Linked DNA regions of Drosophila melanogaster. The protein of the gene in region 4 interacts with the protein of the main gene of each other region in a pairwise test. Each region holds a gene or a part of one and is shown on either strand. Other genes may lie near its edges. The genes, in order: CG43894, Sod3, CG15422 and CG34205.

Region 1 (7,218 bases), on a different chromosome or scaffold from region 4:
CCACAGTTACACCCACCACTGAACCACCTACCTCCACAGTTACATCCACAACAGAACCAAGCTCGTCTACCACTCTGGAACCTACTTCAACTACATCTTCCTCTACCACTTCACAACCAACTTTATCAACCGAAGAATCAACTTCAACATCTCCAACGTCTACCTCTACTTCAAGTCCTCCGGTGACTACTGCCAATCCCATTGCCAATCCCTGTAGGTTTAGTACAAATGGTGATCTCAAGGATCCTGCTCCACTACTAACACCGCAAGGAGCTCTCAGCTGGCTGCTGCCCGATGAAAGTGGGCTTTACACCGTGGAAGAAGGATCCTCCATTGATCTGCACTGCACTGGAGCTCTGGTATCACCATTTAATAGGTATACAGCTCTGAGCGCTCGTTGTGTTGGTGATCAATTGTACGAGGCCGAAGGACAGCTGGTCAATATTCGAGGATTCGTCTGCCAGAGTTGGCCCACATATGCGGCAGTCCGATCGGGACAATCTTGCGCTGGTGGTACGGATGTGGTGCACATCGGCTTCGATGTGGCTGCCGGTTTTCTTAGCCATGTTGAGCTCTGCTACGATCAGCAGGAGCAGATCTCCAGATACGCTCGCTATGAACTGACTCCGGCCAATGTGGCCTACCAAAAGGGTGTTGCTCAACCGGGCTATCTTCGAGGTGACTTCTATAGCGGCGAAGATGTCAATGTTCTATATGACCAATCACACCAGCTGGATGCATTTAGTACGGCCCTGGGATTAGATGCCAGTCAGTACTTTGACAGCACTAAGGATCTCTATTTGACCAGAGGACAGCTGGCAGCTCGTCTTGATTTCGTCCATAGTTCCGCCCAGAGAGCCACCCACTTTTATGTGAACGCAGTTCCTCAATGGAGAAGCATCAATATTGGAAATTGGCTTGCAGTGGAATCCAGTTTGAAGCAATTTGTGGCGGATGAGGCACTTAATGTGAGTGTACATGCCGGCAGCTATGATATCTCAACTCTACCCAATTCACAAGGTGTCCAGACACCTCTGTATCTGAATGCCGAGACCAAACAACTGCCAGTAGCTAAGATCCTCTATCGCATTGTTATCGATCAGGAAAGTCGCAAGGGAGTAGTTCTAATTGTGGTCAACAATCCACATATAACATTGACGGAGACCCTCGAGGATTATGTGATCTGTGAGGATGTGGGAGCGCAAATCGATTGGTTGGACTGGGACAAAGCAAACCTGCAGAAGGGCTACTCCTATGCGTGCTCTGTAGAAGATTTCATCGAAGTGGTTAAGGATTTGCCCACAGATCAACTGCAAACAACAGGAATTCTTGGTTTGACTGATCAAATCTTGGACAATGAAGTGTGCAGCTTTAAAGTGAACGGTGATCTTAAGGATCCGGCTCCTTTATTTGTAGTCAGGAGTGAATTGGGTCATGCGAGATATTTGGAACCGAATCAAGAAGGAGTAGTTCAGCTAAAACATGGAGAAGCCCTTGAGTTCCACTGCATCAATTCTTTCAGTGGACCCTTCTCTGGTTATACCTTCGTCAATTCAACATGCTGGCAACAGCAGAGCATCCTGGCAATGGGCAGTTTGTATCAGCTGCAGGACTTTGTCTGCACTTCCTGGCCAACATACACTGCTCGTCGCTCTGGTCGTCCCTGCAATGGTGGTACTGATCTGCTTGAAGTGGGCTTTCAGCTGTCATCCTCCTCGAGCGACGACTTCCTGCAGACCTATGACGTGTGTCACGATGAACTGAGCGAAGTCACCCGCTATGTGCATCATGTTTTGTACCCCGGAAGTGACCAATATCAGCGATCTGTATCCAGGCCATCCTTTATACCCGGCGACTTTTACGGAGGCAAGGATGTGAACACTTTGTACACCCAAGTTCAACAGAATATCACGGTTTCCGAGATTTTGGGCATGGATGCCTCACCATACTTCAACACCACTGGTAATGTCTATCTGGCTCGGGGTCACCTTTCTGCAAAGACCGACTTTGTCTTTGGGGCCGCTCAAAAGGCGAGCTTCTTCTTTGTGAATGCGGCACCTCAGTGGCAGACCTTTAATGGCGGAAACTGGGAACGAATCGAGGACAGTGTGAGAAAGTTTGTGGCGGATGAAAACATCACAGTGGATTGCTATACGGGCACATGGGGTGTGTCCACCCTGCCGGATGTAAATGGCATTGGAAGGGAGCTCTATTTGGACTTTGATGAAAACAACAATGGTCTGATTCCAGTGCCAAAGTTGTACTTCCGCGTGATTATCGATCGCGAGAGCAGAAATGGCATCGTGCTACTTGGAGTTAACAACCCACATGCCACCATTGAGCAAATCGAAGAGGAGTACATCATCTGCCAGGATATTGGCGCCCAACTGAGTTGGGTCAGTTGGACCAAAGAGGACCTAAAGAAGGGCTATTCATATGCCTGTACTGTGGAGGACTTTACTGCAGTGGTGAAAGACCTACCTTTACAAGACCTGTTTGTCGATGGAGTCCTGGGTGTTTAATATCAGATTTTGTGGGTGTGCAATTTCCAAAAAAAAAAACGAATTTCTTAATTTAAAACCAATAAAAAGACTATCTTAAAGAAAACAGGTTTTTATTGAAGGGTAGCCCTTAGGAAAATGCTTAAAGGCACGTTTAAATTAAGTTCTCATGGGCCATAAAACAGTGAAATCACGTTTAGCTTTTGTTCTCTTTGGAGTTTATTGCATGTTGGACATATTGATAAGAGTAAGGTTATCAAATGCTTGACGTTATCGTTTATGGCCGGGGTAGAGCTATTTATTTACCCAGCCATTGGATTATTTGCTCACGTGCCGCACGTTTCCAAAAGCCTTAATTTTTTCTGCTGTTCCAGTAGCCCAAGAGGCAGTCCCTTGGCCCGAATCGAAGTCCCAATGGCAGTGACTTTCACATTTTCTTATCGAAGCTAAGGAAATACCTTGTATTACTTGTGCGGTTCCCTTTGTTTATCTTATCGCAACACAATCGTCGCAGAACGTATGAAGTATACGCCTGCTTGGTTAATAATTATAATGGACTTTTTAGGGGGTAAACAAAAGGCAAAAACCGTAAATGAAGCAGATAGAAACCAAAATTGATTTATATTGGTCGAGTAATCATTCACTTAGAATTGTTGCGGATTCAACAATGCGGTTAAACTTCGTTTTAATTAATCAGTAATATCTATCAAGGCTGAAAGTGTGTGTTATTTTGTTAAGCAATGTTTATTTACCCCTGTTCAAGGCGTAGTTCAGAGACCGTTTAATAGATAGTTCTATTCGGCTAACCTACTGCTGAAATATTTAGGCAGTAACTTATTAATCGTGTAAGTTTTAATGTACTGCATTTAAACAGCCATACAAAAATATTCAATTAGCGCTGTTTAATGAACTTTTATTTATGTTAGAAAGAGTCAGAACAATAATCATCATATTTCGGTGATTTAATTTTGCAAATAATCATTACCGCAACTCATCAACCATGAAATATCAAAATGATATAAATATGAGGGATTTAGGGAAATGAATTTAGTTAGTTTCGGAATTTTACAAGAGAAAATGGAACTTGTTGGTATATATTTGATATTAGCCACGACGATTGTTGTCCAAGGATACAGAAGTAAGTCAGCGAACAGGATAAGGGATAAAATCTAAAAAATTCCCCACTATCAATACAGAATTTGGACTTAGTTGTGAGGATATTGCCTGTATATCTGGTAAAAAATGCATTGTATCCAGAGTTCCCTGCGAAAACCCAAATCAGCAAGAAGGAGAACAATGTGGAACCTATCCGGAGTGCCAATCAGGTTCGTAAAATTTTGTTTTTTCATCGGTTCACACTGAAATCTGGTCCTTTTCAACTGATCCGTTTCAGATCAGCTGGCCAGCGATTTCATCATCGACACTACACAGACCACTGCCAACACCCGAAACAGCATCATCATACCCAGCACTTCCACGAGTCGCAATCGGAATAATAGGAACAGTGACTTTAAACTGCTGAGCGATTTCAGTAACTCCGATACATTTGCCACCCATGCAGGCCAACGGCAGGCTAATGTTTTGGTTATTGTTCAAGATGGTTCCCAGCAACCTCAACAGCCAAATCCTTGGCTAAATCGAGGACAAAGTCCTCCCTGTACCATCAGTCCGCTCTACCCATATTCCTGTACTTATCCCCGTTATCCGAATTCGGGAGCAGGATTGCCTTCTTATACGCAGCAGCGATCGGCCAATGGGCCACAATTAGTTCCTCCCACTCCACCATGCTACTATAACTGCTATCCCAGTGTGCGGTCAAGTTCATATGGTCAATATGGATACCCCCTGTCTAGATCAGCCAATCCCTCATCAACCAATAACTATTTAATCTACCTCACATTAGCTGGCTAAAAGACCAGGAGCTTTAGTTATGTGCAAATAATAAATATAGAATCTATTATCAACCTTTTTTTTTCGTTTCTATATCTTCGCCAGTTTTGCACCGTTTCCGGCGAACGCCACAAATGCCTTATCAGCCTGTGGGGATGCCAGCTTCAATGCCACCCGGGTATCCACCACCTCGCCCACCGTTTCAAATGCAGCAGCCGCGTCAAGTTGCACCACAATATGTGATTCCACCTCAGCCCAACCCACAGTACGCAATTCAATACCAGGCCAACCGGCAATATGCCATGCAAGGACAACCCAATTCGGCCAATCCTTGGCTCCACTTCTCAGTAGGGATGTCCTATCCAACGTATATGAACTATAATGGACGTTCCGCTGGGAACTCACTTCCATCATTTTACAATCCGTACCCACCCAGTTATAGTACCTATAATTACAATATTAACTTACCCTTTTCGGGTGGATCTTCCTAAGATCTTCGATACTGGTTAAAAAAAATTCAAAGCTACTCAGCACCGGATGGACTCCTTCCGAACATTATTTCATTACTTTCAAATTTGTCGTTCCTAAAATTAATAGCTAATACATATATTTGTCAGCTTCTCTGGGGGAAACGATGACGGATTCCGAAATGGATTCTGATGCAACACTACCACAATTTCACAATCGATCGGCACGTCAGATTCCAATGCGTCCCATGCCAGGACCAATGCCAATGCCAGGAGCGCTGCCGTATCCTGGTCCTGTTTCAATGAATGTACCATCTCCGGGGCGTGCGTATTATCCCTCGTATATGGGACAACCTTATATGGGACAACCGTACATGCCAGGTGCCATGCCCATGATGCCAATGATGCCCCAGGGAGGTGGAACTATGGGTGGTACCAGCATAATTGTGGAGCCCTTAATAATCCTGCCAATGGGCATTGGGGCAGGCACGGGTACGGGCGTGAATCCAAATTCATATTATGGATCGAATGGAGCTTATCCCACGTATAACAATTACAATCCCTACAATACGTACACTACTGCACGACCCAGCTACGACTATAACAATTATAACAACAACAATAATAACAATAACAACGATTACAACTCATATGGTTAGATTTCAATTAAATGATCCCCGAAATCTACATGATCATTATTCATTTACAAATGAATCGAAAGCTGTCCAGGTATGAATATATTGTGTACATACATTGTTTGCCAGGTCATTTAACAATAGATTATTTTCGATTATTAAATAAGAAAAATGTCAAATATAATTGACGATTAATCTTGAATAAAATTATTGAGATACATCATTCGCGAGATAAATCACTTTTTGTTTTAGCTCTGTAAAGAAAGGGGATCGACAAAAGCAAAGAACTTAATGCGACCTAGACCTAAATACACATACATATGTATAAAGGTATATAGATAGAAAGAACTCGGAAGTACTCAAAAAATGCAAACAATCCAATGGTATTATATCTTTATTCTCAGAGAGATTACAAGACAAAGAAGCAAAACGAAAGAGAGAGCGAGAGAGAGAGAGAGATGTAAGATACAAGAGCACGAACTGAGAATATAAATAAAAACACCTGTTCACCAAACAAATAATTCAGTCGGCGGTTAGATAGCAACTTAACCGGTCGAGTTGAGTTTCCAACAAAATGATGCTTCAGTTTATCGGCCTAATTTTGGCGGTCGTGATTCTGCGAGAGATTCGGGCACGTGAGGCGATCGCAACCATTCCAGATGTGGGTCAGATAATCAAAGATCTCGATGGACTGCACATCGATGGAGAAATGTTTCATCAAGGTATGTGGTCGCCTAAAAGTTAATAACCATACGTTTATCCAAAGCAGACTGAGCTTTGTTTGAGTAGTTTGACTGTAGTGGTCACATTCGGAATGAAATATATGTACATTTTGGAATGCAAAAAGGTCTGATGTTTGTTTTTCTTAAAAAAAACTATATTGTAGAAACAATAACCTTATTTACACATAAAAGTCACCTGCTTCAACAAAGTAAAATACATAGCACCAAAGGGCTGGAAAATAAATTAGTCTTAAAATTGGTTAAAATTCAAAATAAGAAAGACTTAAATATTTAAAAATATATATATGAATATAAAATTATTATATTACAATTGTTATATATATATTGTTCGTATATATAATAATATTATTGTGTTGTAAAATATTTAATCTTTATGTCATCGCCTAAAATTATGCCAAGAATTTTTAGCCACATCTTTTAACACACCTAACTTCCCATTTTAGGTTCTCCCTGCAGAGTGGATGTGCAAAATGATCTGCCCCGTTTGGATAAAGTGCAGCCGCTGTACCTGCGCCCAGGAACAGATCTCTACTGGCTGCCCAATGCTTATGGGCACCTGGAGGTTCAACGCGGCGCCAGCATCGAGCTGCACTGCAGCCATTCGTTCGCGCCCGCGAATGGAGAGTCTTTGGATGCGAAGCTGCGTTCCATTCGGGTGAAGTGCGTGCAGGACACCACCTTCGAGTGGATGGGGGCTAAAATCCATTTCAGCGACTTTGTCTGCAATCACTCCATGCCCTACACCGTGGAGCGATTGGACAGGAGTTGTGGCAGCGACACTCCGAGTCCATCCACCTCGTACTTGTATCGCGTGGGCTATGACACCGGAGATGGCAGATTTGTGGCCACCATGGAGCTGTGCCACGACCCAAATCAACTGCGCACCCACTACGCCCACCATCAACTGACACCGGCGAATGTGCACTTCCAGAAAAAATTGAAACGCCCGAGGTTTAGCACCGCCGGCCATTTCACGGGCTTT
Region 2 (9,588 bases), about 11 Mb from region 4:
GAGAGTCGACTCCGCAGCACATCAACTTCTGCTGGATGTTGTCCCATGCCATGGTGTCTTCGCTGTTCGATCGCTTGATGGACTCCTGCAGCGAGTTCTTCACCATTCCCTCCAAATCCTTCTTGAAAACGCTGGCCGCAATACCGACGGCCAGCTCCACAATGAAGATGACGGCCAAAAGGACAGCAAACTGTTAATGAAATTCGAATGGGTTAGGACATTTCTTGGGAGCTTCTCTAGAAAACTTACAGTAATTAGAAGCGTTGGAGACTCCTTGATCGCTCCGAAACAGCCCAGCGAAGCTATCAGGAATATGATCAGGCCCGTGACTATGAGGACAATTGGCGGTGCAAGGACTCGACCTTCGACAAAGTGATTGAATTCATTCACATCGGCCAGGACAACGGCACCAGCAATAAGAATTCCCAGGCCGGAGATCTGTAAGAAATTTTAGTACCTTCGATTAATCGAATCGACCTCCAATAGAACCGTTAAGCAATTTAGTTAATGGCTTCCAATCATGTCCTAATTTGCTATGGCAGGCATTTATATTTACATTCCCTATTCTAATTGAACGATAAAAATCGCCCACGACTTAGTCAATGGCATTTCCATGTTCAAGTCCGTGCCGTCATTGAAAGTCAACTGCTTGCGCAGTTGGTCAATGCGAAGGACACCCGATGTCCATGTCCTTTGGAGCACGCATACATCACTCGCATGTCGTTACAGGCCATCGCGTTTGAACATTATCCGATTATCCGATTTTCCGTGAGTGAGAGTGCCATTTTCCAGCGATACTTATCTAAATGAGGCAGGCGAACAAGACTCCAAGCACAAGCGTAATTATAGTGCTTATGGCGAATTAGAACTAATTACGAGCAAAAATAAATCTGGTAGAATGTTACGTTTGGACGGTTCAATCCGTTTTCATAATTGCAGTAACAGTTTGCACCTCGAAAATTCCCAGAAAATAGTTATGTCATTTCATAAAATTTTATGATTCTTTTTTGAAATTAATATCAATAAGTCAATTTGATTGGCATATGATTTGTTAGAAACAAAGTGATTTGCAGTATGATGCAATGTATTGTATTTAGCATAATATTCTCAGTATCCTTTAGATATTTTACTCATATATCATATCACTTGCACTTACCGCAAACAGCACATTAAATGCGAATAAGACATATTTAATTAAACTCGGACCGCAAGAACGCATTTTGAGATTCCTTTTGGGGCGAAGCACTAATTCAAGTTATTTCAACTTTAGATCAATTCAAATACAGAATCGCTTTGGTGCGTGATATGACTTAGTGATCCAGAGCGATGGCCCAAATCGACTGACCGCACTGGAGTTTAACCGCGAACTGACCGGAGCGACGGTCCGGCTGGGCTTTAGAAGGGCCCGGTTCTGTTGTGGCCACTTGCCACTTGCCGGGTTGGTGGTGGCAACGGATCCGGATTGCGGTTGGGGTACGGCTAGCAATGGGTAGCGGCGGAACAAAAGCGAAAGCGAGTGAAAGTCTTGGAGGCCCGATTCGAATTTAGGCCAGGCATGATTAGGCTGGAATCGGAATAGGGATCGGGCATGGGCCTATGACGGACTATATGGACTATAGGGGCTGGAACTCCGTGCTGGCTTATTTCACTGTTGATTTAGCATTCGATACCAAAGAACTTTGACCAAAGCAGCGAGGCGAGGCGAGGCGATTGGTTGCGTTTTGTGGGTCGCCCGGGGCTTACCTCACTTGCCTCACTCACGGCTCCATTCGCCATCTCCAGCTGGATTCCGGGTGGGTCATTGCACTTATTACCATAAAAATTTAGCTGTGCGCCCACGTCTATGTGTTTCCCTTTAAAGTTCGGCACTTAGCACTTGGAACTCGACCGGGCCCAAGGCGAAATTAATTGCGTGCTTTCGTGCGCGGCAAAGAAAGTTGTAAATGCTTTCTCTTTCTCTGAGGACTGTGCGAAATAATTAAAGACGCCCAGAAGTATGCCACAGTCTTTCGGATGATGTTAGTGTTGCGTGTCGGGAATTATGGCCCTAGGTTTTCTAGAATCCCACTGTTTGACCCATTCTCTGGCTGAGCCTATCTGGTCGAAGAAATCTAGAAAAAATAAAAGCAAAAACTGTTGCTTGACCATTAGTTGCGGCGGCTTGGAATCAAAATCCCTGGGAATTGGAGTTCTCTGAATGATTGGAGCACAAATATTTTCTGAAGGCTTCCGCAATTTAAAGCAAATTGTGGCTCTAAGCTGGAATTCAGCAAATCAAAGGCAACTAAATGTTATATGACCCATTCGCAGCCACATAAAGGTGTATGGGTAGGAAAAGCTTTGGTGACGTCGAAGTTCTATATATAGTTTTCCTACCAACTTTTTGAGTGTTCATTTATTTGGTAACCTATTTTAGGGAACAAACAGCTATTTGTCCTTAGAAATCAACATACAAAATTGAAGTTATATTTAATTCTCTTGATAACTTACTACTACTGTGATTTATGTGCAATTCTAACAGTCCATTGGAAACACTTTGTCTAATCTTTTTTATAAAATTAGAGCTAACCCTTATCTGTCGTTCATTTTCAGCAACTTTTGTTACTATCTAAGCACGTACAAATTGCAAGCACCCGAAATACAAATAACAAACTTTATTATCGATCAATTCAAACACTTTACAAGTAGCTTAGTTAGTTCCTTTGATTTCTCTATTTGGGTGGATAATGCTGGAGTATTATAATTACTGTTGGTAGTGGTGTGCGACTCATGGTTGTGTGGTTAGTGTGTAAGTAGGTATGCAGATCACTACGATGGCCAACAATCCCATGCCACATGCGTGCATTCGATCCGATCCGGGTGCATGTTTCGGATTAGTCAAGGCTGCGGGCCATGATGAGGGCCACGATGACGGTCAGGATGGAGAAGGAGTAGCGCAGGGCGCCGGCGCCACCATCGCGACATGGCCACTCGTCCACATCCGAGCTGCAATTAGAAGGTGGAACAGGCGAACGGTGTAGTCTCGCGATCTCACAGATACAATTGGTGCGACAACGGATACGGATAGGGGTATGGGTGCGGATATGGATATGGGTGTGGGTATGGCAAAGGATAGTGCTGGAGTGGATAGACAACATGATCTTGTGGCTCCCCATGGGGCACATAGTACAGTGGCTGATGGCGTGGTGTTGGTGGTGCAGGTGCAGGTACAGATGGGCCACTGGAAAACATACAATGTGAGTTTTTTGATTGAACCCTGGTTGGATCAGTAAAGTTCCGATTCCAGCGGCAGTTGTTATTCCAATATCCCCTTCTCTTCGCCGACCGACCGACCGACCGACCGACCGACCGACTAATGCTAATGATGTTAGTAAAAATGATAGGTAAAAAGGCTCTCTGTCATACCTACCCACTCGGAAAAGCAACCCCAGCAAAGCGCGAAAGTTTGTTTAGGCCATGAATATGAGGTGGTAGAACACAAGTGGTACAGAGTATGCTAATGTTTAGCTTAGATTTCGGTTAATTTTTGTTGATTTTATTACACACAAACACACACACGGCAAATCGAGTGAGTCAGTGAACTGAGACAATTAATTGAGGGAAATGTGTAAGCCAAACATGTAAGGGTGAGTGTGATTGTGGGTGGGGGAATTGGGAAAATTGGGAAAACATTTCATTAGTTACTACGCCTGGAGTTACACAACTACACATAAAGTATTCGAGCAGCATATTGATTTGGCTGACACGTTGGAAGGGATATTTACTTGATGCCAATAACACCACAGGCTGAAAGAAGGTTTAAAACAAATATTTTATTATTATTATTATTTTATTATTTTACACTGACTACTTACCAATGCGGCCGCCTGCATTGCCGGTCTTCTTGGAATCCGTGTGGTTGCCCAGACCGAGATCATCCTCCAATTCGTGGACAACAACTCCCCTGCCAATGATCCCCAGCTTGCCAGTTAAGGTGATCACCTGATCCGTGTATGTAACGTCGATAATGCCCGTGGAGTTGGCCTCCAGGTTGCCCAGATCGCCAACATGACGCACCTCGTGATCGGGGCCACCGTGATCAACCTGAGACATAAAAGTTATATTAGTGATTTAGACACCTAATCCTATAAAGAATCCCGCATCTACCTTATCGGGGTTATAGTGAGCACCCATGCTGATGCATCCATTGGTCAGATCTCCCTTCTCGTGAATGTGGAAGCCGTGCTTGCCCTCCTTCAATCCCTCCAGCTGGACGCGCACATGGACATTCTGGCCACAGTCGTTCTGCGTAAAGGTCACGTTGCCCTTGACCTGGGTATTATCCGATTGCACGGGTCCAATCAGATAGGCAATGGCTTGAATGGGCATATTGCGCTGCAAAGTAAGTTCAGTGTCCTAATTATAAGTGGATTTTCAAATTAACGAGATTATATATCTTACCGTCTGCGCAGCAGAGCAAATTGTGGCACAGAGTGCCAGGCTAACAACAAGATATTGCATCATTTTGAACTGCAAGGAAATCATAGTTAAATTAGACACGTGTACGACTCGGATAGCAAATGTTAGAAATGTTTAAATGTCTATAAATAAATAATTTTAAATTGAGTGGCACAAGCAGAGAAAATCCCACCAGGGATGATCTACTGGACATAGCTAAAAATGAACTAAATGATAATCCTGAAATTTCGATAATTGATATGGACTCAATATTAAAAACATCTTCCAAAACTATTTATATAATGCTTTATAGTAAAGCTTTAAATGATTTGGAACCAAATACTTTCAGTTTTGGGAAATGCTAGGAGGGTTTATGTCTTGTAATCTCAAATTCCGTGATGCCAACTCATCTCTGGCACTTGAATTCCAGCTCATCTCTGGCTTGGACGTCATCAGGTGTACATTCTCTTGATTCCATTTAAACGGACAGTTGTGTGCGGAATTGAAGCGCCTAGCCTCAATTTATGAAACGATTTGTGGGTCATATATGATGTGCGAACGGGTATTATTATTTATGTGTGTGAATAATGAGCGATACCCAAACGAAACTAAATGCAAACAGCCTTTTTCACAGGGTTAAGTGCGGCTGCGGGAAGGTCAATCAACAATCTCTTTTTCGTACGCACTTCGCTTCCAAAGTTCCACAAATGAAATGGATGGGTGTCACACTTTATCGGGGCAATATTTGTTTATGGGTCCGGTTTCCTTACGGTCTTATCAATGTGTCTGCGATATGCTGGCGATCTTGCACGCTCGAGTTCTGAAACGATCTTCAAACGCGGTCAGTACCTGCTCTACACACGTATCCTTATCTGCACTTGGAATCGGTCCCATAATTTACGATTCTCACGCTCGTAGAGCGACTGAATTTCGGAACTAAAAATGCCATTGTCATTACGTATAAGTATTTTAATCTGTTTTTTGCCAGGTATTTACTTATTCTGGTTCAAACTGTCACGAAATGGGTCACAAATTGCAACTAATAGCCACTGCTTGTCCATCAAATAAGGTTTATTAGGGCTCTTGCTTGCTGATTAAATATGATTGATTTGAAAATAATAACTCAGTTTGAGTTTTACCGTGAAACGATATGCTAATGAAGATGCTTATCTGAACAATTTGATCGCAGGGCTCTCTTCGTGAATTTGCAAACAATACAGCCAAGATTACTTGATTTCACACACAGAGACTTCGCGTCTAATTTAAACGCCGAAGCTATGCAGTTTTGAGATAAGAACAAGCCATAATTTTACATATATGAAAAGATAGAATATCGTAAACACTTGTTCAACCAACTGTTCACGATTGGGAATTTAAATGTTTATTGAAGTTTTAAGCCGTGGAATGTGTGGATTGTAATGGATATGTACAATATTTTGTGTCTGGTCTGTGCTGCATTTTTGCCCACTCATTTTTCTGGATTAATAACTGGTTACCTTAACCCACTCAAGGGTGAGCGGACAGTGAATGAGAGAATCAAAAATCAGTGAAGTAAACTCCGTTTTTGCGGTAACTGGTTTCTTTTTGGTAACACGCAATTGTGGGTAATATATCTAAATCAGGTTCTAAAATGTAAGCAAACCAATAAATTATGAACAATTAACAATTACAATTAACTCAAGTAACTTCAACTTCAGCTTAACCTTCACCCAATATTCTCGATTACTAGCCCTTGATCTTCTTTTTTTTCGCGTCCGTTGCAAACTCACCTTGTTAGCAACTATTTTATAATTGGGTACTGATTGTTTTTTGCGAGAATTAAGCGATTGCACCTCTGTACCGTTGGAAACCTGCGACGGAACTGTTTCGAGCCTCTGGCATTGCCATCGCAAATCGACTCGCTGAGAGAACATTGGGGCAGATTTGGCGAGAGCAAGAAGACCGCAGAATTGAGAATTGAGAGCGCCACCAGGTGGAGCGGCGGATATTGCATTTGGCGGTCAGCACGATCGCGTAGGCGAGAGTTCCGCTCTCAGGTTTATCTCGGGCTTACTTCACCGCTCTATCGCTCTATCTCCCTCGTTGAGTTTTTTTTATCAACTGCAGATTGATCAGATTCTTTTGTCCAGCTCTGATGATATATTTATTATCCTATTAACGGCCTTTTTTTTAATTATATCCAAATTATAGCTATTAAGTAATTCTTTGAACTTACTAAAAGCGCAGCTGAAACACGCTAACGTGCTTTTCATTTGAATACCTTATCACTGTGGCGTCATAAAATATGTGCCAGGCTCGTGCCTACAATGGAGGTCGTAAATATTGGCATGCTTTCCAGATACGGCGAAGCAATTTGAAGAACTACTGCTACAAATTCTTTGAAAATGAGTTGCCAGGTAATAGCTTCTGATATGCCAACCGATGCCATGAAATTGTAGTTACATCACATTTATAGCAGGCCGGGATCGAATTTTTTAAATAAATAACGCATTTAAGTAGGTGAAAATATTCGTGTATTCACATTTGTAAATTGTGCTAATAAAATCATCGTACATACAAAAACTCTTAATTATTGATTCTCTCAATACTAAATGTTGATAGCCAAGCCCTACTTATACAAGATATAGAATGTAAGTACATACTACTGCTACTACATAATAAGAAACTTTCCACTTGGGAGCTGGTTAAAATTATATTGCCTACTGTAATTTTGCACATGTCCGCCTGTTTTTTGGGTTTAACCGCCGGTTAGGATCGGTCGAGGATTAAGCTACTTCGATTAACAATTAGTTTTGGTTGGATTGGGATCGGGTTTCTAGATGAGCTTGTGCCTGCCGAGGGAAGCCGTGTGCATGGGACTGCAGTTCTCGATGAGCATGGTCTGGCCCTCTCCAGTCGGTGATTCTCCACCTTTGTTGTTGTTGTTGTTGTTGTGGTGGACCCTCTTCATGGGCCGCTTTCGTTCGATATCCGCACAGGGGTGCAGCTCCACGGTCTGCAGACTTTGGGCTCGTTGCAGCGATAGCCGGAGGGGTTTCTTGGGCGGAGTGGGTCTAGTGGTACGCGTCTCAGTCGCAGGCTTCGATTCGTTTTCGCTATCGAAATCCAGGGATTTTACACTCCTCATATCGCTGGGCAGGCGGGCTCGAAGTGTGTTCGACTCACTTTGTCGGGGCGTGTCTCGGCGACGATCCAGTCTGGAATGGCGAAGAAGATCGGGGAGATTAGTCAGGAAAATTTAAATCTATGAAAAAGCCTGTCTTTGCTAGAACATCTACACAAGAATCTCGAAGAATCGCGAATAACCTACCCATTGTAATGATTCAGGTGCTCTACACTGCGTGCGTGCGTGCTCATGAGATGTTCGCGATGCAGTTGCTGCTGTTGCTGGAGAGGATCTCTGGGGCGTTCCCGGTGCTGGCGATCGCGATGGCGCTCCTTATCACGTCGATGGTGCTGCATATAGGCAGAATCGCTATTAATCGAGATCTTCGAGGCGGACAGCGATTTGGAGGGCATGGAGTACATGTGCGACAGACGATCTCTCAAATCGATGTGGGTATTCTCCTTGATCAGTGTTTTGGTTACATGTCCGGGAGGGGTTTGTGTCGAGGCCATGTCGTCACCCATCAGCTCGATGGGTTTGCCCCCCACCAAAGTGGTAATATAGTTGCCCCGCTGAAAGATCAACGGTTTCTCGGGCGGTGTTGATGGAGGTGATGATATGCTGATGCTGGTCACATGCTGAGATTGATTGGAGGATGTCTGCTGTGGATTTTGCTGTGGATTTTGCTGTGGATTTTGCTGTTGCTGCTGCTGCTGCTGCTGCTGTTGCGATGGATGATGCTCCTTGACTGTCTGCAGTTCTCGCACCTGCTCTTCCAGGTACGATATGCGATGCTGCAGCCTCATGTTGTTCTCCTTCTCCTGGTCTAGTTGCTTTTGTGGTATAGGTACGGACTTCTTGCGGAGTACAACCATCTGACACTTGCCAGAGTTTCCTACTTGCTTCTGCAGCTCTTCCTTGGATTTTCCGGTTACCAGTCGTCCGTTGATCTCCAAAATGCGATCGCCCTTGTACAAGCCATCACCCTCTAAAGCCCATTCTACGTAGAAACCCGGCTGGTCTGTCCTCTGTTGAACTGCCCATCTTCCCGAGGTGGCATGCACGGCGTGCAGACTCAGGGAGACTCCAGAGCTGATGATGTTGTAGAGGGTCTGCGCCTCGGGCTTGGACTTTTCCAGACGTGCCTGCAAGGCGCGAGCCTCCTCCACAATCGAGAGCATCTGGAGTTCTTCTCTGCCGAGTGCGTATTCCAATTCGGCTTGACGGATGCGGATGTCTATGTTGCTGTGGATAAAATAAAGTAAGTATTAAATATCTTCAAGCTAAATAGTATTAAAACATTCTACTCACTCTGTGATGTCCAGCTTCTCCAGGGCACTCTTCAGGTTCTTGATCTTAATTCGCTTATTCTCCGCCTCCGTCTTCAGTCTGTTTAGTTTTTGCTCAGCCGCCGGCTTCTCGGACTCATCCAGCGGTGGTCCCGTGGGACGTGGCAGTTTGCCCAGACAAAGCTGTATACGCAGATTCTGGATGACAGCCTCCCGATCCTGAAGAGCCGATCGCAATTCCTTGGATTCGCTGCGCGTCGATCGCGAGGAGAGAGTACCGCCCAGGGAGCCACCCTTGCGCCTTCTTCCAGTTGTGGAACAATGGGTAGAGGTGGTCGTGGTACTGGCAGTCTCCTGGTTCGTCTCTGCAGTCGAGTGCAGACTGTACTTGACGGCACTGCCACAACCCTTCGGATTGAGAATGGTCTGCAACAAAAGAAGGCGAACAAAGAAGTGAGTTTTTTAAGTTTATCTTATTAAGCACAGAAGTCAGGGAGTAAAATGAGGCTGTCATAACTTGATCGTGATAAGATTATTATGATTATTTATTTAAAAGATTACAAGTCTCTTTGAAACATTATTATATAAGCTGCGTATATAGTGTTTGCAGGGGTTGGAATTATTCCTTGGGTATATCGTACACCCCGCACTCTCGATTGGCGGGCAGCGAGGCATCTAAAAGATATTAAACTTAGTAAAAGACGCATATAGTAATATGTTCACATCCCCACCTATTTTCTTGGGATATGGTAAATT
Region 3 (6,549 bases), on a different chromosome or scaffold from region 4:
TTTTTCCATTTATTGGGTGGACACAGCAGCGACTGGTACAAATGTAGTAGTGGTGGTGATGTTGTTGTTGGTAGCAACTGGAACTGCAACCTGAGTGGGAACAACCACAACATTTCGGGACATCATCCTGCGGCACTGGCGACAAGGACGGCCCCAAGCCAGGGGATTTGCATAGTACAGGACTCCTCGAGGATGGTTGCACTCGGCGCACTTGAGGTTGATATTGATGTCGGACATGGCTCTGTCTTGTCTTGGCTCTAAGTTGTCTCTGCTCGACTGCACTTCAATTTGGCTTTTAACTTTAACTTATAACCTTTTTATACAGCCAGTTTGAATGCGATAAGAAAAATTGAGGACTCGCTTATCACAACAGTGATGGATCAAACTCGTAATTCTGCTGCAGCAGTTGTGATTCAATCTCTCAATCCCTCGATTTTCTGTGACTCATATGTTCTAGGGATGTTGAACTTTTCATTCTAGAGTGACTCATCATAGACCTCTTCTTAAGTGGTTTTTTAGGATACATTTTTACTTGCTATTCTCGATAGTTTAAGAATCCAAAAATAATTATCTTGACTCTTCTCTTCATGAGTAATTAATTCTTTTTTAGATATCAATTCCCGAACTCTTATCATGAAAAATATTTTTCATTTGTATACATATACATTTTAAGCCATAGTTGGATATGCAATTCTTATTTAAATACGGCAAGAATGGTATAACTTTTCATATAAAATCATAATTCAAATTTTACTTTGAGTCCAGCAAGATCTTTTATATTTATTACGCCATTTAAATTGAGAAAACTATTGCCCAGTTTTCGTTATAATAAAGCTTAAAATATGTTTATGTACTGACAGCACTAGTTGTACAATAATTGATAAGCTGGCTACGACCAGAGGACATCAATCATTTCCCACCAGTCAGATAGCAAAACCGAAGCCAAATAATATATACAAAAACCACAAAAAATCCACGAAAGCAATTACCCGTACGGAAAATAGAGAGTGGAAAAGGAATCATGACCATGACCATTGTTTATGTCGTTCGCCTGCAGTTCAATTTTCATATTTGTACCATTAACATTGCAAATAAATGCAGGCATATATATTCGCAATATGAAAATGTGTCACAGCAAGAACCGACATTGAAAACCAATCAAGTATATTTCAATTAAGGTAAAGTGCATTTAAGTTATTTAAGCAAATATTTCGAGCGGATTTACAATTGCATTGGCAATAAGATTGAGGCAAATTAAAATGTCAGCTTACATGAAGAAATATGTGCGTAATATATAGTATACTATAGTATATAGTAGTATAAACACGAAATTCAAACATGAAGGAGTGAACTGTTTATTTATTTTTTATTTTTATTATACAAGAGCTTAGGTTTTGTAAAAAGTTAGTTTATAGTTTCTATTTGCAGAAATACATGAAGTTTAATAAATATTTTTAAAGTTTTTTACTTCGTTGTTGAACGACGGTCATATGGAGACCACGCCTACCACCTGGGCGGTGGGGGCTGCTGAACGATGATGACCTCTTCCCTGGGAGGTGGACGCCGACCGCCGATGTTGAACTCGATGAAGGGAGCTCTTGGTGGCACCACATCCACCTCGATAATGGGTCGTGGTGGTGGCGGCTGGTAGACGGCAGCTGGTGTGATGACCTCCACCCTGGGCGGTGGTGGTGGATACCGGCCGCCCACTCCGATCTCAATCACTGGTCGAGGAATCCTTGGCGGCACAATGTCCACCTCTACAATTGGCCTTCCACCGTGATGGTGATGATGGTGATGACGACGTTCCTCCTCGTAGTACGGCATTTTCTTCAGAAACTATCCAAGTATTGTATCCTTAGTGGGTGAAGTGAATGCCTTTGACTGCTTTCTCGAACTGAACTTGCTTCTTCGCCTGCTTAACTATTTAAGTCAATTTTTATCGCTAATGAGGGGGAATTTTTTTTCCTAATTTTGTTATGTGCGTTTTGCACAGTAGCTTAGTTGGTTATCTTGTCAGGTGGAATAAATGTGTTTTTTTCGATAAAAAAAAAATAAAATTGATAAGTGCCATTTGATAAATACGAAATTCCGAATTGAATTTCATGAGGAGAGTTCAAGGTTTCCATGAATCACAATTTTATATTTAAGAGGAAGGACTTAATTCCATGCTTCTGATTGATGACTCACACTAAATTACATAAACATAAATAAAATCGATAATGCAGTATTTAGAATATTTTTAGAATTAAAGACGGGTAGGTTTTTTGAAGAGCAAGATATTTTATTTATTTCGTTTTAAGGTTATATAGCACAATTATATTTTCTTTGAAACGGTTAAAGTTAAATTCCAGTTTTGTTTTTTTGTACCTTCCTCTGGTTATTAACTTGTTAACTTTGTGGTGCGTAATGTCAAGACCATTGCACCATTTGCGTTGTCATTTCAACTTAAGATTAGGACAAAGTGATATTTGTTTTGATTTCTTGTTATCTATCCCTTCCTTCACTCCATCGATAGTATATTTTTTTTTTGTTAGTGGTGATGGCTTCGTTTCCATTCCGACCTCGTTCACCACTGCGGATACGGTGGATTGTTGTAGGGCTGCTGATACTGGTACTGATACTCGTACGCCTGCTGCTGCTGCTGCGGATAGTATCCATTGGTGGTGGCCACCGTGACGCCGCCGTAGGGTTGCGGCATTATCACCTGTGTGCCGGGCACATAGGTAGCCGCCGGGGTCATGTAGACTACCTCGGCGGGCCGAGGCGGAGGCGGCGGCGGATAGTAGCCGCCACCCCAACCGGGAACCACATCAATTTCGATATTTGGACGACCATGGTGATGGCGAGGAGGATAGCCACATGGATCTTCATAGTACCGCATAGTTGATTAACTAGCCAAATAATCAACCAGCCAACCGAACCAACTTCACCACCCAGCAACGCGTTGAATACTGGAAAGTCCGTGGCACAACACGTCTAGCTCGAAACAAACTGGAACTGCGAAGCTCCATCAATCAGGGTTTGTGGGAATTATTCCAGTGGTTAGAGGCAAAGATAAGATGGCTTAGTCATTCGACAAGGTCTGATAACAGCGACCGGACAGTTGTGCATTTACAGGTGATCGGGTTTCGCTATTTTACTCGCATTTTGTTTACTATATTAACTGATTCCGGCTTATCTATGGGTAACGCGTTATTATTTCTGATATAGGAGCATAGAAGCATTGACAGAGCATTGGTGAAAATGAATTAAAGTTTTGCTAGACATTAACAAAACAACAAGTGATTGCCGTCTAAATTAACCAGGTGTTCCGATAAAGACTTAAAAAAAAAAAACACGGATTAGAGATTTTGATAATAAAAAGAGGGAGTGTGTGTGATGGAATCAACTCGATTGAAACTCAACCATTACTCATGACAAATATGCAAAAAAACTAAAAACTATAAACTAAAACTTAGTTTATAAGGTTATACTTTATTGAGGACATATAGTTGTTAAGTAAGGCTACGTGGTATAAATTCATTGTGAAGGATTTTACAGATCAAAGTTCCTTCTCAATACTGTGGATTGTGGTAGTGGCTGCTGCCGGGCGGTGGTGGTGGTGGTGGATTTTGGTAGTACGGTGGCGGAGGCGCCTGTTGCACCACCATGACTGGTGGCGGTGGCGGAGCCTGCTGCTGCACCACCACAACTTGGGGTGGTGGGCGGTGATGGCGGCGTGGCCATGGTGGTGCAATCTGTACCTTAATCACGGGTCCACGACGATGAGGCGGTCCGCCGCAATGATCGTGGGGTGGTGGTGGCATAGTGGTGCACTAATCTTCTGTAGAAAGTCCGTCCAAATGTGTCGACTTATCGCTGGTAACTGAATTAAGCGAATGCCCAACTCATGGGACTGACTAACCAAACAAACGCCAAAATATTTGCCGTCATAAAAAAGCTCAATATCAGCATTTGCTGATAGCGAATAGGTAGGTAGGTACTCTTAATTATTTCTATTGACGAAAGTATTGCTTCTAGAGCAAAGTTATCGATAAATAAACTGAAAATTGGCAAATGGTAAAGCTTTTTTCGAATAAGCTTTTCAATTCAAATTTGAGCCTGCATATCAATAGATTTTCCTCGTTTCTTTAATGAGTCATGTTTGGTTTTTTCCGGGGATTTCTCCTTAACTTACATATAGTCATGTAAATACTTGTTTAAAGTTTTAAAAAGAAATAAAGTATTTCGTTGTCACGAAGAAAGGAAATGAACCAACGTGCAAATATTTGTATTTGGTTAAATGCGATTAAATTCCTTAACTCTAGTGAAAACAAACTTTAGCTTGAGAAAATGTTGTCAAGCCACAAATATTTATCCAATTTTCAGCCCCGAAAAATTCCCAATAATTCTTTACACATTTTCCTTAGCCGGCAAATATTTGGCAAACATTTGCACGTCTATTATGCAAAGTTTGCAGACACGATTTTGCCTCGAGGGGCGACGTGGGTAAATATTAAATGTATGGATAGAAAAACATGGTAATTTCTGACGGTCAATCAAGAAAAGTCTCTCGGGACTCTCTGAATCTCAATCACTTGATCAAATAAAATTCGGAATATTCGATTTGACAACCAGGAGAGCGGCAGCCTTTTTGGCTGTACTTAATTGAGTGGTTCGTGCTGCATTTCGCATTTCATTCGCTCTTTGAATTGTCACTTCGATCAAGGAACTGGGGTTAAGGGTTACGGCTTAAGGGTTAAGGGTGCTTGCCCTAAAAAGTTAAACATGCACAAAGTGGCAAACGAGTTTCGGGCAAAGTTTTCAACTGACGCAAAAGAAGGAAGGAAATGAGTGCCGCATAACGCGCAACATATCGACTGAGCTTTTGTGGGCGCGCTGCGTTGGTGGGGCGTGGCAGGCCGCATGACAGTCACTCACTTTAGTTATTATAGCCATTAAAAGGAAATCCCAACTGGCTGTAATGAAATCACTGTCCATAGCAAAAACGATAGTTTAAACGTAGCCAATTCACTTTGGGGATAAAAAATAATGTAAATTTTCAAGACCTCTGAAGAAAAAGAAAATTTCTCAAGCGAATTTACTCGAAAAAGTGTATTAAGTGCGTCATCTTTGAAGCCTCCGCTTTTTCCACATGTATTTTTTAACTCCTTGTGCATATTTTAGGAAATGAATTGAGTCCTGGCAAGATAAAATGTCTCTGTCCCCGAGTGAAGAATCAAAATCAGAAAATTGGGGCTTGGAATCGGGAGTTGAATCTGGATCTGAATCTGCAGCTGAAACTGAGGCAGCGCCCTCGAATCGATAACTGTCAAAAAATAAGCCGGCAAGCAACATGCAAGACAGGCGCATAAGGGGGCGTGGCAAAAGGGGTGTTGCAAATGGATGGGGATGTGGTTGGGGGGATGGTGGTTCTGGTGGTTTTAAGCGGTGGCGGCGGCGTCGCACAATTTAAATATTTATGGCGCTCCGCTTGGTGCACAAGAAACGGAACCAGGCACACGGCATAGCCAAAAAACCGTAACCGTAAGCCTAACCAAGAAACCAGGAAAAGCAGCTATCCGAAATTTCGCAACCCGTTTACTGAGAGAAATCAAATGAAAGTATTTGCAAAATTCAGCTTCGCACAAAAGTCCAAATTATTGTAATTATTATTTTTAAAGGGATTTAAAATTTTGAAAAAAAAAATATCGGTTTTATACAGAATAACAACATGTACGTTGAAATGTGTATAAAGGATTTATGAAAAAATTGATTGTATGCATTTTTCTTCAGTGCATACCACCTTTACGAGGCTTCTTTAGCAGCGGCGTCAGAAAACGCATTTCCTGCTCATGTCATGACATGCAAGTGTGGCTGGGAAATCGCGTAACGCAGCAAGAGTTGGCAAGAAAATCGGGAAAGTTGGAAAATCGGTTGGTGCAGAAATGGGTTACCCAAAAGGAATCATTGCTTTTGTCGACATGTCATGGCAATACTCGTATCTGAAAAGTGTTTTCGGGGTTGGGCTGAGATGTTTTTCGAACATTTTCAAGAACATTTTATTGAGCTACCGTTTTCAGGCACTCGCTGCAAGTTGATGATTGATAGAGTTGTAAAACTGAAGACGGAAAGGCAAAATGCTGCCAGAGGTGAGGGATGACTTGACAGTTTTGCTAAACTCTTGAAATCTTGCAGCGTAACTACGAAAATGTTGTCGAATATTTTTACAATTAGGCAATGTGCTTAGCATATTCAATAATTTAAATATTTTTAAAAATATTATTAAAAAAAGAATTTACATATTTTTACATTTTTGAACTCTATATTGTAAATTAAAACGGTTTCTTATGCACAATAGTTTTAGAAGCACTGACGCTTGCGTTCCTCTCAACTTTTAATTGAAATCAGCTCACAGTTTTACAGCCATAGGTGTACACCAGCAACCGCCACTCCCCCTTACGCCCACAAGGCCATTAAGGAACTTGTTAATTTGCATTTTCCATTTCCATTTGCATGAAAATTTGTTTCTTTTCGCGAGGCGCAAAAATTAACCAGCGAAAGAAA
Region 4 (7,188 bases):
TACTCTTCAAATTAAAAAAAAAAAACAGTATTATTTATCGAAACAACCATTAGTTCATCGTTTCTTATCACTTCACTTAAGTCGGCTTCCTAATTCAGTCGTAGTTAAGCCGCTGTGAGGAGTAGAAGTCCAGGTCGATACGATGTACAACCTTATCAAGGGCTCCTTGGCAACATACTGCTGCCTGTGCCTGCTACTGATATTGATTGACCCAGCGGAATCGGGACAACTGTCAACGAGATTCAACGTGAGCTTCGCCCAGCTGGATTCCTGCGAAACCTACTCCGTTCCGAATACGGGCTATGGCTACCGGAGGTTCTACATGCTGCGCGAGCTGAGCAACAACAACAGGAAGGCCGGAGAGCGGCTGCACTTGAAATTCTACGTCCTGACCGCCATGGATGCGCACATCCTGCTCTCGGTGACGAATCACCCGCGCCCAAATGATCGCGTTTACGAGATCGGTGGGTGAAATCAATAATATTCAGTTTTAATTCCAGCATTTCAATGAGCTCTTTCTAGTGGAACCCTACCTAAATATTCAATTGATATCTTTATTCCGCTTGCAGTGATAGGAGCCGGCGGAAATACGTTTTCCGCAATCCGGAATGCTATGGGAATGAGGCGGGTGGCCACGAATCAAGAGCCGAACTTGGTATCGCTGTACGACCCGACGCCAATTGAGATTGTCCAAAACCAGAGTGAGTTCCCCCATCTTATCGGGTATTCCCTGCCCCTCCAACGCACAGTATATTTCCAGATGGCGAGCTGTTTGTTTACATACCCGGCTTCAAGAAGGAGCCCCTGCTGCAGTTCATCGATGAAGCACCGCTGGTCATCAACTATCTGAGTTTCAGCTCCTTTGGTTCCAATACGGCGCGGTGGTTTTACGACTGTGGCTTCGATGGTTATGGTAAGGATGATATATAGTAAGCTATAAGTCTATATCTGTAAGTATGTTCTAAAACTGACCCATTTCAGGGTCGGAAATTGCACCGATAGTGAAGGAGGAAACGAAGACGGAAAAACTGCTAAGCCATCTGAATATCCAGGCGGAAAATGCAAGCATGCCGGCTAATCTCAGCTCCATATCGTTCCACTTCCAAACGCGCTCCCTCGCCTACGAGCAAACCAGTTCCTTGCTTCAGACCCGCATGCACATGATGATGGTAATGAAAGATAAGCTCGAAATGCAAATATTTAGTGTGAAACAGTAAAGATACATTCGCCTATCCATGCAGCACTGGAGGGATAGTCGTCTTGTCTGGAAACCCGAGGACTTCGGCTCGCTGGAATCTTTCGAACATCCTGACCTTCGTATATGGAAGCCGCATATGAACGTCCTCAACGGCGCCCTGCAATCCATGGGTCAGGTCCTCCAATCCTATGAGCTGATGGTCTACGCCAACGGAAGCATCACCCTGTACGCTCAAAACCTCCAGCTGGCCAGTTGGTGTGTGGACAGTGCCCGAAACTGGCCAAGCGAGCGAGTGACTTGCGACATCGAGCTGGGTCTCAATGGCCAGGAGGGGCAGGAGAATGTGGCGCTAATCTACGATGATCAGCGCAAGCCGATTGCGCCCAATGAGCACGTGAACACGCCATCCGGCTGGTCGTTCACGCAAATGTCCGTGGTGCTGGTGGAGAACGATTCGCAAAGGCGATACAACCCCAAGGGAATGATGCAGAAAATGACCGGCGATGTGGCAATTGAGTTCACGCTGCAAAGGAATCGGAGCTTCTACATGACCGTCTTCTATTTGCCGTTGATTGGTAATATGAAAATGTGTTTGATTTCTTGTTATGGAATAACATATAACTACAATATATTCTTTCAGCCTGCCAGATGTTCCTGATTTTGTCCTTTGTACTGCGTTCTACTCGTAGGAGTTCCCTCATTCTCATCGCCTTGCTGATTGCCGCCTGGGGTTTAATGTACATGACGCGCTACGCCTCTCCGCATTATGTGCCGCCCATGAGTAAGTTTTAAATCAATTAACTAAAACTCACTGTGTATAATTTTCAAATTCAAATTTTCACTTTTCCTACAGTGACTGCATATAAAGTCATCATGATGACCACCACCTATTGCTACATTCTGCACATCTGCATTATATGGCTGGATCTATATCCACCCAGATCGAAGGCTCCTGGCTGGCTGGTTAGGGTGATTAACTCCAATGTTCTGCGATGCATTCTGGGATTGAGATTTTCGGATGTGAGTAGTTAAGCCCCTATTGAACACATATACGTATTGCAATTCACTATATTCCTACAGTCTACCGACTATTGCGACATTCAGGAGAATCCCTGGCACCATATGGCCAAGATCCTGAACAACCTGAGTTCAATCTTGGTCATTATAACCTTTGCCATCGTAGATATTACGAGTGGGTTTTGAAAAACAGAATTTTTCTTTATTGTGCATTTGAGAGAATATTAATGGTTCTTAAATAAATAAGAAGTAAACAGAGAAGATTGTGAAGATTTTGCGACTACAAGTTGAAAAAGTGGGAGAGCGTGCTGGGCTGTTGCGACTCCTCGCAGTTAATTGCTGCCATTGTTCCAACTCCGATCCGGGATCGATTTGGATTTGGAGTGTTTTGGTATCGGAGCTTAGTGGTAACCGTATCCACCCAGGGACAGGGCAGGTGCAGCGTATGACTTAACCAGGGCAGGAGCTGCGTAGCTGATGGCTGGAGCCGCATATGACTTGACCACCGTGGGAGCAGCGTAGCTGATGGCTGGAGCGGCATGGGCGTAACTGATGGCTGGAGCGGCATAGGACTTGATCACCGGAGCTGGAGCAGCATAGGCGATGGCAGGCGCAGCGTACGACTTAACAATGGGCGTGGCATGGGAAACAACCTGTGCATGCAAAGTAGATTGTAAGATTAAATGGGAAAATATCAGAGTATATCCAGATCTTACCGAGCTGAAGTGCGAGTAGCTGGTGGCTGGAGCTGCCACCTTGACCGCCACAGGAGCAGCATAGGACTTGACCACCGTGGGAGCGGCGTAGCTGATGGCAGGAGCGGCATGGGCGTAGCTGATGGCTGGAGCGGCATAGGACTTGATCACCGGAGCTGGAGCCGCATAGGTGATGGCTGGGGCAGCGTAGGACTTGATGACTGGAGCTGCAGCTGCATATGTTATGGCAGGAGCGGCATGGGCGTAGCTGTAGTCCGGAGCCGAGTGTCCATAATCAAGGAGTCCAGGAGCAGCAGTGGCCACAGCCAGCAGAGAGGTAAGGATCTGGCGAGGTAAATGGAAAACCAAACTTTGATGTTAATCTTTTTGATCTAGTGAATATAAGATCGAGGTAATCCTTGTATGAAGATATCCTTTGCAGTCAGTATTATTGGCTTAAAGTGATAATACTGATCCTAGGCCGCATCCTTTCCAACCCTTTCCACTCACCAGAAGTTTCATGCTAGCGCTGGATAACGAATCACTTGGCTTGGAGGGAGAATTGCAACTGTAAGTGGACGTGTGCATTGCGTTACTTTTATACCCCTCGACGGCAGACCACGCACTCGCACTCTCGAGCGGACTGCGAACTGCGGACCGGAGGACAGGTGGTCGAGCGGACAGATCTTGACTAGATTTCGATCTGAGCCTCGGACGGACAAACAGTCAGCAGACAGCAGTCAACAAAGCGGGCCAAGCAGCACCAATTTGTGAAGTATCTCGGCTGCAGTGAAACTGCAATTCTCGTAGACGCAGCTCGGATTGGAGAGCCCCCAAACGCGGATGACGCAACCTGAACTGGAGCTGGGAGTTGGGAGCTCCGAACCGAAGGCAGACCACTTGCCGGCTAAGGAGTCGCCGCAGGAAAGGCGGTCTTTACACTGGGGGTGCCATTGTGGCTCGCATTTGGAAAGCGCACGCTAATTGAAATCGCTGATTAGCTGGCCAATTTGGGCAACGCGCCAGGTGACACGCCCCTCGAAAGCACGCAGCCTTGCCACTAACAACTTAATTAGCCAACGTAGAATGCCGTCTAATTGTTTTCGTTGCTATGTTTGAGTATTCTCGAAACAATTCTCGGCGTGGCGCTGGGAAATTCTCTCCAAATTGCATAATGAACGCTTGCCAAATCGGCAAACGCCAAAACCAAACACCAAGCAGCAATCCCCTCTGGCCGAAATATCTAGGCGAGCTTCATATTTATCTTTATCGTGCCTCGAATGCCGCTGCGTGCCACATTTGACCATATTGGATGGGTGATTTCAGCCGCAGCCACGCCGTCTCGTCTCGAGGACACTCGTGCGTGGCGAGGGGGTTTGGATCGAGTGGAGGCCCCAGTTCGCCAGCTCCAGCTCCAGCTTCAACTCGCCATCGATCCATCGACTTTGCCGGCTGAAATTGCCGGTTCAGCATCTGGCAGTTCGTGGGATTTTTTATGGCCGACTTGATTAACCCCACGGGATGTGCGGGGGTACGGAGGTGTGACATTGGGTCATCACAAAATTAATAATGCTACAAATTGTTGAGAATGCTCGTCGTGATCCTTATCACGGATTAATAGTGTCTCAAGTAATCATTATATCACTTATTCGCTTTAAGTATAGATATGGTGTATATATTCATTTCTTAAATGATTTATATTTTTGTGGACTTTACATAACTTTTTGAGACAATAAGGTAGTCCGTGTTTAAATACTTGCTTTATATATTAGGGTTAAGAAACTAAAGTTTGGAAAGCACATAATGTCTCAGATTAGCGCATGCAACTTGCAGCACTTCAGTGGAGTTCCTCTCAAGAGGTCTCGAAAACACCACTTCAACGCCGAAATCTCGTAAAAAAAACTCGAAAAAAAACTTAGCACAATGAGAAAAGGACAGCACGAAACGCCGCAAAAGAGACAGAGAGTCACCTGCGATCGCAGTTCATGCATAAATCATGCATGCCAGTGGAATGTGATTTATGTGAATTCTATTAGCAAATATTAAGTCAATAGGAGCAATTGTTGCCAGTGGTCGGCGACTGCCAAACAAGTGTTCCATGTCCAATTCGATCCGGACAGATGCGGACAGATCGGTGTTGTGTGTTGTGGTCGGTGTGTCGCCGGTCCTCATAAATAAAAGATTTCCCAGCCACTGCCCCACATTTTGGCCAGGTGGAAAGCAATTTTCCAGCAATCGGTCGGTGGATCAGAAGGGTGGCAAACTCGAATGCCAAATTGCCACATACTAAATGACGATTTAAGGCGATCAGCCGATCGATCCTCGTCTTGGTTTTTATGGCTTCGATCGAGAGGCGAGTCTTTAGCCGCATTTGGATTTGGCGATCGGGCGGCGTGTGCTCCAAAATGGGTGCAAAATGCCGCGAATTTTGGATGACGGGCCTAATTAGCCACTGGCCACAGAATGGATGAGAGAATTCAAAGCGATTGCCCAATGGATCGCAAGCGCAGAATTCTTCGCGGCGCACGCTGCGTATGCGTTATTTTTCGATCCATTCAATTAATTAACGCCGCTGCATTTGACTTGCAAATGCTTCGCGGAACGGCCAAGAAAAACATTGCAAAATGGAAAAGCGCCGCTTAATTAAATCAAAAACAAACGACGAAATCAACCAGCCTGAAAAACCAAATAAAAACCGCGTGGCATTTATGACGCTTTGCCTGAATTAATGAATGAATCGTGGTGGACATGGAAATGGATTTGGAGTTCAGCTTTTGGGAGCTGACAAACTTAGAGCCTCGCTGCTGACGTGACTGGAAGTTTTTGAAATGCACCGCACCAACTTTGATGAATTTGTTTTCAAATGTATGATTCCCTTAAAAATCGATTACAATTTGGATAATATTTTAAGCTAGCAGAAAAATTCCATGTGATGATATATATATACATATTTGGAGGTCTTGTAAATGAATTAATTTTTTTCTTTGTGTATTCCGAGTCCATTTTGCATTTAGCAATCCCAACTGACTGCAAATCAATGACTGTTTCTACTCCATAGACTGCTGGCCATTTTGTCGCCTTCTTGTTTGTTTTTCGTCAACAGGAATTGGTGGTAAGTGGTGTATTTATGGGATGACTGCGTCGAGGCGGTCGGTTGTGAAATGATTATTGCCATGGTAATGGTCCAGATAAAGTGGGCTGATTAAATAGAGGAAAACGGGCTATAACGATCCTGTCTATGGATATTTGTGTATGTTAAATGGCGTGATTAATAAATAATATTTAATAAAATACAAAATATTTAAATTTAAAATGCTCTTAATGTTTGCGCTAAGGTGAAACGGGTTTGATGTAAGCTTAAATTTAAAACTAGCTTTTTCGCTGTCTTAGCTTAAAGATAAGCTTGGCTTAGTGGCGCCATCTAACAGATGTTCTGCTCAATTTTCATGACCAACAGATGGCGTAGCTTAGGACAGCGGACGTAGATAGCTGTCATGTATATTTTATGTTTTATGTAATTTACTTGTATTACAAACTTTGTTTTGAAATATAAGTTAACATTTGCAAAAAAAAATATAATATTGTTGGCTAGATTTATAGTAGTATATATAACCTTTTTAAAAAATGTATATAAAACATTCAACATCGACATGGAATGGAATCCTATTGAATGAGCAATTCAAGTTTATCATTCAATACAACTCTTTTTTCTTCAATCGATTGCCCTTCGCTACGTTTCCATAGAAAAAGACCCAGAGACTCAAATAAATATAGATCAAAGTCACTGAAGTTAATGACGTATGAGCAATGCACGAACCACAGCATTGGGGTGTCGGCGATTTAAAGGGGTTAAATGCTCCCCTTGAAATTCAACAGGTGAGCAAGTGGGTGGAATACCTATGTATGTTTGTGGGATGGATGGATTGGACTTCGCTGAACACTGACCTTAAATCCAATTTTAAACACGGTTTGTTGAGGATTGCTCCCCTTTTCCAGTTTAGCCGTGATTAAATCAACCTTTAAGCCTAGATTATTAACTGATTAAGTCCACTGCAGTTGTGTGACTGACTGCGCATTTAAGATTGTTTTTCTTTATTTGTGCGTTTGTCAAGTGCAGTTTGAAATTCAAGTTGCCTAATAACTTAAAACCCCAAGCAGCTTTAATGGCCATAATTCGTCTGTGGACGCAGAAGAGGTGGAAGAATCCGAAGGCAAAAGCCAAGAGGAGTGTCTTCGTGTTGTTGCCATTGCTTTTGTTGTTATGGCGGTGTTAATGTT

Evidence for each region.
Region 1: the proteins of CG34205 (region 4) and CG43894 interact in a two-hybrid assay, tested with the Drosophila melanogaster proteins (one large-scale study listed by BioGRID).
Region 2: the proteins of CG34205 (region 4) and Sod3 interact in a two-hybrid assay, tested with the Drosophila melanogaster proteins (one large-scale study listed by BioGRID).
Region 3: the proteins of CG34205 (region 4) and CG15422 interact in a two-hybrid assay, tested with the Drosophila melanogaster proteins (one large-scale study listed by BioGRID).

What each region holds. Positions count from the first base shown.
Region 1 is NT_037436.4:12,886,646-12,893,863, forward strand, and holds CG43894 (uncharacterized protein), read left to right. Parts: upstream 1-3,124; 5' UTR 3,125-3,578; coding exon 3,579-3,639; intron 3,640-3,697; coding exon 3,698-3,826; intron 3,827-3,894; coding exon 3,895-4,412; 3' UTR 4,413-4,460; downstream 4,461-7,218. Other genes in the region: CG14120 (uncharacterized protein), read left to right, coding at 1-2,522; CG14118 (uncharacterized protein), read left to right, coding at 6,068-6,215, 6,680-7,218.
Region 2 is NT_033778.4:11,377,809-11,387,396, forward strand, and holds Sod3 (superoxide dismutase 3), read right to left. Parts: upstream 6,307-9,588; 5' UTR 6,207-6,306; intron 5,268-6,206; exon of another isoform or gene 5,124-5,267; intron 4,510-5,123; 5' UTR 4,504-4,509; coding exon 4,441-4,503; intron 4,375-4,440; coding exon 4,147-4,374; intron 4,084-4,146; coding exon 3,855-4,083; intron 3,787-3,854; coding exon 3,765-3,786; coding exon of another isoform or gene 3,761-3,764; exon of another isoform or gene 3,221-3,760; coding exon 3,031-3,220; 3' UTR 2,986-3,030; coding exon of another isoform or gene 2,874-2,985; 3' UTR 2,641-2,873; downstream 1-2,640. Other genes in the region: Tsp47F (tetraspanin 47F), read right to left, coding at 1-190, 250-438, 1,157-1,219; sprt (sprite), read right to left, coding at 7,253-7,634, 7,748-8,788, 8,855-9,258; CG30022 (uncharacterized protein), read right to left, coding at 9,452-9,507, 9,564-9,588. UniProt on the Drosophila melanogaster protein: Protects the extracellular space from the toxic effects of reactive oxygen intermediates by converting superoxide radicals into hydrogen peroxide and oxygen.
Region 3 is NT_033779.5:4,001,391-4,007,939, reverse strand, and holds CG15422 (uncharacterized protein), read right to left. Parts: upstream 2,957-6,549; 5' UTR 2,885-2,956; coding exon 2,570-2,884; 3' UTR 2,270-2,569; downstream 1-2,269. Other genes in the region: CG43773 (uncharacterized protein), read right to left, coding at 10-237; CG15423 (uncharacterized protein), read right to left, coding at 1,504-1,827; CG34176 (uncharacterized protein), read right to left, coding at 3,558-3,809.
Region 4 is NT_033778.4:22,127,713-22,134,900, forward strand, and holds CG34205 (uncharacterized protein), read right to left. Parts: upstream 3,588-7,188; 5' UTR 3,499-3,587; coding exon 3,421-3,498; intron 3,256-3,420; coding exon 2,932-3,255; intron 2,869-2,931; coding exon 2,617-2,868; 3' UTR 2,402-2,616; downstream 1-2,401. Other genes in the region: NtR, read left to right, coding at 143-464, 570-701, 761-913, 982-1,169, 1,242-1,773, 1,839-1,979, 2,052-2,218, 2,279-2,401.